2 linked regions of the Danio rerio genome follow. The protein of the gene in region 2 interacts with the protein of the main gene of each other region in a biochemical or structural test. Links are inferred from orthologs where the notes say so. Each region holds a gene or a part of one and is shown on either strand. Other genes may lie near its edges. The genes, in order: rnf11b and smurf2.

Region 1 (4,504 bases), on a different chromosome or scaffold from region 2:
TTGAATAAGCTAAATTGGCCTTAGTTTATGAGTGTGTGAATTTGATGGTGTTATGGGTGTTACCCAGTACTGGGTTGTGGCTGGAAGGCCATCCGCTGTGTAAAACATATGCCGGAATAGTTGGCGGTTCATTTGGCTGTGGCGACTGCTGATAAATAAGTGACAAAGCCAAAGTAAAATTAACAAATGAATGATCTTTAAATACTATTGATTTTTAGTACTTTGTTGATGATGAATAAAAATTAATTATACATGTTTCCACAAACCTTAAATCCAGTAATAAAATAACATTTTTGTTGTAGTTTTAATTAGAGTAAAAACAAAGTCTCATCTTTCAAATGATTTTACTATTTTTGTCTTTTTTTTTTTTTGCCAAATATGTGAGAACATGCAAACTCAACACAGAAATGCCAACTGACTTTCTTTTTTGAGCTTTAAGGGGGCTTTTTTAAAGAGTTTACCCAGAAATTAGTTAAAGAGTTATAGTCTTGACAGTAATTAGTCGCTTTCAATTTGATAAAGTGTCAACTAAAAATAGTACCATTCAGAGTGAAATAAAATGTTATAAAACATCTATATCCACCAATTATTCTTATTCCTCTGAAGTTAAAACATTGGAATGGTATTGTCTAAATAAAATATATAAACACATACAGTTAAAGTCAGAATTTAGATTTTTTTTTCTTTTTTTAAATTTTTCTGAAATTATGTTTAACAGAGCAAGTAGATTTTAACAGTATGTCTGATAATATTTTTTCTTCTGGTAAAAATCTTATTTGTTTTATTTAGACTAGAATAAAAGCAGTTTTTAGTTTTTTAAAAACCATTTTAAGGTCATAATTACTGGCCCTTTTAAGCTATTTTTTTTTTTTGATAGTCTACAGAACAAACCATCGTTATACAATAACTTGCCTAATTAACCTATCCTGCCTAGTTAACCTAATTAACCTAGTTAAGCCTTTAAATGTCACTTTAATCTGAATACTAGTTTCTTGAAAAATATCTAGTAAAACATTATTTACGGTCATCATTATACTGTCATGTTATTAAAGATAAGTTATTAAAACTATCGTGTTTAGAAATGTTGAAAAAAACTCTGATAAACAGAAATTGGGGGAAAATATACATAAGGGGGCTAGTAATTCTGACATGGCATATCTGTAATTTTGAACGATTGTCATTGTATGCTCTGAATGACAACATGTTTATTTTACATTTAAGAAATTTCAGTAAAAATCACTGAAACAATCAGTAGCTAGCAGGAAAAAAAAACGGAAACTGAGAAATACGAATTCCCATATGGTATTTAAACAAGAAAAGCAATGAAGATATGAAAGACGACCCCTTTTTCTCCGGATTAACTTGGATGGATTTTTACCTCCGAATTGCACTTTAATCATCATGACATCGATTTGGTTATAATGTAGTAGTCACTCAGTTTAGTTATTCCTCCAATCTGTTCTTCAGGGGAAAGGGGAAAGTCGTGCGTTTTATTTTTCAAACTGACAATTTTACAATTGAAGTGAACTATGCCTTTAAATCGGCCTAATGCGGTCAAGTTTAAAGGCTTTAAACCCCTGTTGTTGGTGTTGTAAGTCTGCAATCTAATTGGGTGACGAGTATCCACTAATAGCGCCCTTACTACTGAAGACGCCTACTGATTGGTGGATTCTGTGCGGAGGCGGGACTTAGAATGACTGCCTGAAAGGCAACATTGCCTGAGTCGCCATTGAGAGCGAGCGCATATTTGATATTGTGGAAATTATCTCCTGGAAGGCTAACCAGTGTGTTTACTATTAAGACGAAGAGAAAGGGACAGCATTACATAAAGAGGCTTTAAATCAAAAAGACGTGTTTCACAGGTTTAGACTGTGTGAATTTATACAAACATCGTTTCATATCCGCGTATGACACTTTTTCCAGGCTTCTTTGTGTCGACAATGGTTTGTTTTTCTCCGTCAGGATCTCTCATGGTGATCGGATCGTTGTAAATGAATGATAGAGGGTTTTGTCGTCCTGTTTAAAGGGACAGAAGTCTGGTTGGAGTGATTAAGGGCGGAAGGGATAGGAAGGATTTCAACATTTAGACAACAAGGAGTTTGGAAAGGAGATGGGGAATTGTCTGAAATCTCCCACTTCGGATGATATCTCCTTGCTCCACGAATCCCAGTCAGACAGGGCCAGTTTCGGTGACGCCAACGATCCAGATCAGGAACCGCCACCTCCGTATCAGGTAAGCTTATAAAAACCATTAGAATACACAAAGAAACTTTGCTTTTGACTAATATAACGTGCCTTGTGTCCACCCTCCTGCTTCAATCATAACATGAACACTCGCAATTCATAATATCAAGCAAATAGACGTAAATATATCACCAACAGCAAGCTCCCGCAGGAGCTCCATCTGTTTAATTTCGCCCTAGAGTGTGTGCCATACTAAATCCTCTTTGTTCGACGTAAACTTGGCCTGCAGTTCACGTCAGACCATCCAGACAGATGGACAGTCTGTTATTTCATCTTTACTGCCGCCTCCGTGGCGTGTTGATTCACCAGCAGCAGCTTTATTGCGATAAAGGTAACCATTCTGGTTGTGACGATTCTTGTTTGCAGTTGTGACGTCATGTCGATGTTATTCTCCTTGCTCGAGTGTTACACAAACCTTTTAAAATATTCTGTTTTCTTCTCTTCACAGACTGTAAGGGCAAACTATATGTATTTAATTTAAATATTACTAATACTGATGTTGTACACATACACAATGTTACTACCTCACTATATATATATTTTTGCAAACTTCCGGGAAGAGAGCTTAAAAATGCTTATAATATGACAATGGGCTGCTCTACATTGTCCTTTAGTCAGAAGTGTTGGGAAGCCTTGCACTCGGGGATTTCCCCATTTTACGGACATGTGGAATCAGTTGAGGTCTAAGTCATGAGATCATGATATTTTAAAGTGATGTCATGCTTTACAAAACATAGTTCAAATGGAAGAACTGGGTTGGCCAGGGTCTTTTTGTTGGATGAAACAAACCATGTCGAAGCAGATAAACTTGTGTAGCACCGTAAGTGAACGTTTTATGTCCAGTCACTGTGTTTTGTAAGAAGCAACATGACTCAGAAGATGTCTGATCTGAAATGTTTGCAACTGTGGTGGCTGTTACATCCTCTTGTTGTGTTGACCTTATCTGTTTTACAAGAACTCTCCAACAAACTGATTGAGGTAAAATTGGTTTAATATTTAGACATTCAGACTTTCGCATTAATAATATAATTTCTGAAAATTAGTCTTTGCAAATCCTAAATAGTGAAATTATATTAGCAGCCAATGACTATTGAAGTACAACATTGTTCAGAGTCAAATAAGTAGTGATAATGTTGTTTAAAGTCATACTTGCGTGTGATTTCAGACCCAATGTTCAAAGTACCATAGTAAACATTATAAGAAGTGTGTCACAAGTAAGTTGTCACTGAAATAATGTGCAAATACAAAACCAACTTTACATTTATAACAAATAATAGTGAGCCGTTGACCGAAGCACAGATAATCTTGTATGCATCTTGAAAGCACACACAGTAATTTCCTCACAACTGATGTGACATAATATAATCTTATTAAGCAAAAGGAACATTCTCTTCAGTCTTAGTTTCAGTTTTTTTCAGCTGAAGGTGGGACGTTAAGTGCTGGACTACTTTCATTTATCAGTTGTGCTAACATTGTTGTCCAATTCATACATTCAAAACATGATTCAAAAATACACATATCCAATTTGTAAGTTTGAAACACGGTTCAGGCGAAGCAGTGGCGCAGAAGGGAGTGCTGTCGCCTCACAGCAAGAAGGTTGCTGGGTCGCTGGTTTGAGCCTCGGCTCCGTTTCTGTGTGGAGTTTGCATGTTCTCCCTGCGTTCGCGTGGGTTTCCTCCGGGTGCTCCGGTTTCCCCCACAGTCCAAAGACATGCGGTACAGGTGAATTGGGTAGTCTAAATTGTCCGTAGTGTATGAGTGTGTGTGTGTGAATGTGTGTGTGGATGTTTCCCAGAGATGGGTTGTGGCTGGAAGGGTATCCGAGGCGTAAAAACTTGCTGGATAAGTTGGCGATTCATTCTGCTGTGCGACCCCAGATTAATAAAGGGACTAAGCCGACAAGAAAGAAATGAAACACGGTTTAAAAATACACAATATATGAATTCCAAATATGATTTAAAAATACACTAATCCAACTCATACATTTGCAACATGATGTAAAAATACACAAATCCAATTCGTAAGTTAGAAACTTAGTTTAAGAATACACAATTCATACATTCGAAACATGATTCAAAAACACATGTCCAATTTGTAAGTTTGAAACACGGTTCAAAAATACACAATATATGAATTCCAAATACGATTTAAAAACACACAAATCCAATTTGTAAATTCAAAACATGATTTAAAAATACACTAATCCAATTCATACATTTGAAACACGATTAAAAAATACACAAATCCAATTCGTAAATTC
Region 2 (4,451 bases):
GATATTTAGTTACAATATTATTTGGTATAATCCCCTCTGACCCACACACAGTTATGACTCACTTTGGCTTCGTTATTTCAGATTGACTGAAAGAACTGATTAATCCAATTTTCTAGTCGCATAAATTAAGGAAACATCACAAACTTTCTGTCTGTGCATTTAAAGTTTTACTTAGTAAATGCATTTACTTTGTAGTCTGAGCACATTATTTTTATTCCAATAGTCCATTAATGCAAATAGGTAGATCTGGAACATGACATTATTTTGTTGTTCCTCTGTTAATATAACTTTGTTTTGTTTTTAGGCTGGAGAGAAGATTGGTGAGGTTGAAAAGCTGTGTTTGATGATTGAGGAGTGTGGTGGCCTGGACAAAATCGAAGCTTTGCAGTCTCATGAAAATGAAATGGTTTACAAGGCCTCCCTCAACTTAATTGAAAAATATTTCTCTGGAGAGGTGGGTTGATCAAATTTTGAATCTCTAGTTGCGCATTATGCATTCTTTTTTTGTGTGTGTAGAGTTTTATCAGTCTGCATATTAAAACTCTGAATTATTATACATTCCACAGACGGGATGGGGGGGGGGGGGGGGGGGTAATCTCAACTTTGAAGTTTAGTTTTATCTTTTGCTTTTAATTCTTTCAAGAACTGCTTTTCCTAAATCCCTGATTTCTGTCTTGCAGGAGGAAGAGGATGAATGTGTCGCACCTGAAGCTACAGATGATGGTTATGCATTCCAGATCAACGAAAACCAAAGCACTTTCAACTTCTAAATGTCTGACCTGTGAAATACTTTTGTATGATTGTTCCGATCATTTCTGCACGCCACTTATCTTGTTCATGTTTGTCTCTGTTTGGACCTCGTGCTCCAAGTTGTACATATGAATCTGTCAGTTTTAATTGTTGCAAATAAACCAACCGAAAAAGAACCAAAGTTGTTTTCTTCTATATTCAAGACATGGACTAAATAAAATATGAATAAACAATAAAGAGGAAAGACTGATGTTAACCGCCAAGTGAAATAAGTGTATATCCTACAGCACTATGAATATCAAGTAGGTCTGATGTCACAGTCTGGGCGGTTTAAGCGGCTCCACAGACACCTTGCAAACCACATTTCCTCAAATCGGTCGCCCATAAGCGATACAACTTTTCCCTCAAGGTCTTGGAATGGCAGTAGACGCCGAAAGCTGTTTGTTCGTGGAAAATATGTTAAACTTCGGGAGGTCTCTGTAAGCGGATCTTTTGAGGGGACGTCGTGGATTTACTTTCACAGACGGTAGAAATACGAGGAGCGCGTTAAAGCGTGTGTATGTATGCAGACATGGCAGGGCTGTGCACATCCGGGCCACAGGACCGTGACTCCATTATTTTCTGTTCACTGTGAAACTGGCGTTGAGGGGAACCAAAAAGCAACTCTGTAACACATTCGACCCGTTTTTTGTAGTAGTCAGCCTGGATAAGGGTCAAGGACATGTCTAATCAAGGAGTTAGAAGGAATGGACCCGTTAAGTTGCGTTTAACAGGTAAGGAATATGCGACATCGTACAGTTTCATCTGAAACTGGCTAGCTGGCTAACAGCTATTGCTGTAAGTCATTGTAGTTTTCTGCCTTTTACCGTGAACCTTCGCTTTGAAGAGCTCTGCGAGTGTGTTTATTTGTCAGATTATATGTTTTGGGTTATGGTGATAGTATGACTGAAACTGGCGTTTTGTTGCAGCGTTGCGTTCTTTAGCAGGTTGGACAACGTCATAATGGAGCCTCAATGGAGCGCGAACGCAACAATTACATTTCTTTAGCTTCAATTGTTTACATTCTTTTGGTTGCGTTGTGATTATCGTTTAAATACGCGCAGCTGCTGATGTGGACGATTGGCTTCGCGAAGAATACGGCTTATTGGCATGAATTGAATTCTTAAGCTTGCTTTATGTAGCCCGTTGCCCCAAATGCAAAATGTAAGAAATCACGTTGCTTCAGTCACTGCAATGCTAATCTGCGAGTGTTTATCTCAATTGTGTTTGAAAATGTTTGCACCAATTAGTACTGTAGACTACACTAAATACTACTAACTAGTGAGAATGGATATTACACGTTGCTTTATTAGATGGAAGAGTGCGGCAGAACATGCGTTAATATAGTATTTACCATAGAAAAGTTACACTGTTAAATGTTTATATATATATATATATATATATATATATATATATATATATATATATATATATATATATATATGCATCTGTATGTATATTTGTTACAACAACTTAGCAATAACTATTAATAACAGTCTACTGATTAATGCATGCGTTTAAAGCACGAGTTTGGTTTTTTCAAATTTCATAGTTAACATATTTTTCAGTTGTTTAGTATTATAATTATCCACATGCTTTTATTCGTAATGTTCTTGAACAGACTTTAGCTATTGTCTAAAAGTATTAAAAATAAATGTAAAAATTCTTACATATTCATTATCTGAAACAAAAAAATTACTTGTTTTATAAATTATACAAATCTTCACAATATAGGCAAACTACTACTCGTATACACTTTATCAGTGTGATTTGACTAACAGTAGAAAGACATACTATGATTTATGTTTATGTTAGCTATATATATTTTACAAATATTTCTTTTGTTCACCTGCATGCTAAGTTTAACATGATTTGAAATGCTATTTTATCTGACTTAAATGATTTTATTTTAGCTACACTGAATGGCTGTTACTTTAAAAGATGAGCAATTTATGCAAACATAAAGTAAGTTGTGTTTCCTGTGAGCGCTGCTGTTTCCTGTTAACCTCTCGGTTATGTTGGCCATTGTGCTTTAAGGACCCACCAATTGGCGACGAGACCCAACATTAAAGAACCAAAAAATGTAAATTGAATCAGTTCACGATTATCTAGCCGTCTGCATAAAAGTGTCTGTTCATGACCTCAGGGAATGCATTCCACAATGAAGTGGACTGTGCAGTGAAATCAACCTCCAAGTATGCAGCAGGATGTTGTAGTATTCATCATGACCCAGCACTGTGGTTGTGGGAGGAAGCTGCAGTCTGAGACACTTGAAGATTTGTCTGTGGGGCTCTTGAGATGTCTGGCTCGTGCATACAGAAAGAGCTCATTTTCCTCCCTGGTTGCTGTTGCACCCTTAAATGAGCTATTTTCACTTCGCCGTGGGTTGGAAAGAGGATAAAACTTTTACAATGACTGACCTGCTGTCATCTCTCAGCTTCTTACCAGTTTTCAGTGCTGCACTATATTGGAGATTAGCCTAGTTGCACTACAATGCAACCTTTTTTTCTAATTAAGACATCTTCTTTGGTTAAAACATTTAAATGCTAAAGCTCGTGTTTTAGTAGGATTATGACTTTAGAGTGGCTGATGCATATTTTTGAAGTATGTTAATGTGAATTTCATAAGCCATGCCAAACATTCTGATTTGCTTTGGAAAAGTTATTTTTAGTTTCTTACTTAAAAGTAAGAAATTAAGGTTGATCAGTGTAAATCATTGTAATACTGTTAGCACCAGACTTTGACTGATTTTTATTTACATTTAAATGTAAATGTACAATTTACATTTAGGATCATGGCGCTTAACAGGGTCTTAAGCGTTTTCAAAGAGCTTAGTTTTCGCAGGACAAAGATGCCAAATGTAACCACAACAAAACTTATGTGCAGGACACATGTGCAATCTGGCAGCCCGAAGTCCCAGGGCTATTGTTTTTTCAGTCGGGCTACCAAAATCTACACCGTGCATGGTTTAGATAGATTTTGGTTGTTTGTATTTCAAAGAAACCAAGTGAAACCACAACAAAAATCTGGTGGCGCAAAGTTCCAGGGCTATTGTTTTTTCAGTCTGGCTACCAAAATCTATCTAGATTATGCCCAGTGTAGATTTGGTAGCCCAAAGTCCTGGGGCTCTTGTTTTGTTGCTTTAAATTAAAAGATATCCTCACTAATGGGTGGGGCCTTCCCCCTCTGATGACATGTACAAAGGGAAGTTTTTATAAAGTGTGATTATAAAAAATAGAATTAATTAATTTTCACCTTTAGAAGCTAGCTATATTCCCACACTGTTGCCACAAAACTATTAAATCCCTTTTAAAAAGGATCTTTAAGTTCAACTTGGCAAGTTTATTACTACTCTTGAAACAAATTCAAAACAAACAATTCCAAACAAACCTTTGTCCTGTTAGTCATTATTTACTCAAAGTCCTGTTTAATCGCCGTCTAAGAATGGAAAATAAAAGATTGGACATTCTTCTATAGATGGTTCAAATTATTAAAATTATTTAATTCTTCAAAGATCCACAATGCACAGTAAAACAAGGAGCATTGATGCACTCTCTCTCTCTCTCTTCTTTTAAAGTGCTAAGCATAAACCTCCTGTTGTTTTTAAATATCATTAGTAACATTGTACAAGGTCATGTTGCCAGATATAGGCAGCATTGTCC

Evidence for each region.
Region 1: the proteins of smurf2 (region 2) and rnf11b form a complex in vitro, tested with the Homo sapiens proteins (3 studies listed by BioGRID and IntAct, with this or other methods). The link is inferred for Danio rerio from reciprocal best matches to the Homo sapiens genes SMURF2 and RNF11.

The regions. Positions count from the first base shown.
Region 1 is NC_133183.1:18,241,587-18,246,090, reverse strand, and holds the start of rnf11b (RING finger protein 11b), read left to right. Parts: upstream 1-1,682; 5' UTR 1,683-2,110; coding exon 2,111-2,233; intron 2,234-4,504. UniProt on the Homo sapiens protein: Essential component of a ubiquitin-editing protein complex, comprising also TNFAIP3, ITCH and TAX1BP1, that ensures the transient nature of inflammatory signaling pathways. Promotes the association of TNFAIP3 to RIPK1 after TNF stimulation.
Region 2 is NC_133178.1:24,110,371-24,114,821, reverse strand, and holds the start of smurf2 (E3 ubiquitin-protein ligase SMURF2), read left to right. Parts: upstream 1-1,333; 5' UTR 1,334-1,471; coding exon 1,472-1,523; intron 1,524-4,451. Other genes in the region: kpna2 (importin subunit alpha-1), read left to right, coding at 305-454, 681-770. UniProt on the Homo sapiens protein: E3 ubiquitin-protein ligase which accepts ubiquitin from an E2 ubiquitin-conjugating enzyme in the form of a thioester and then directly transfers the ubiquitin to targeted substrates.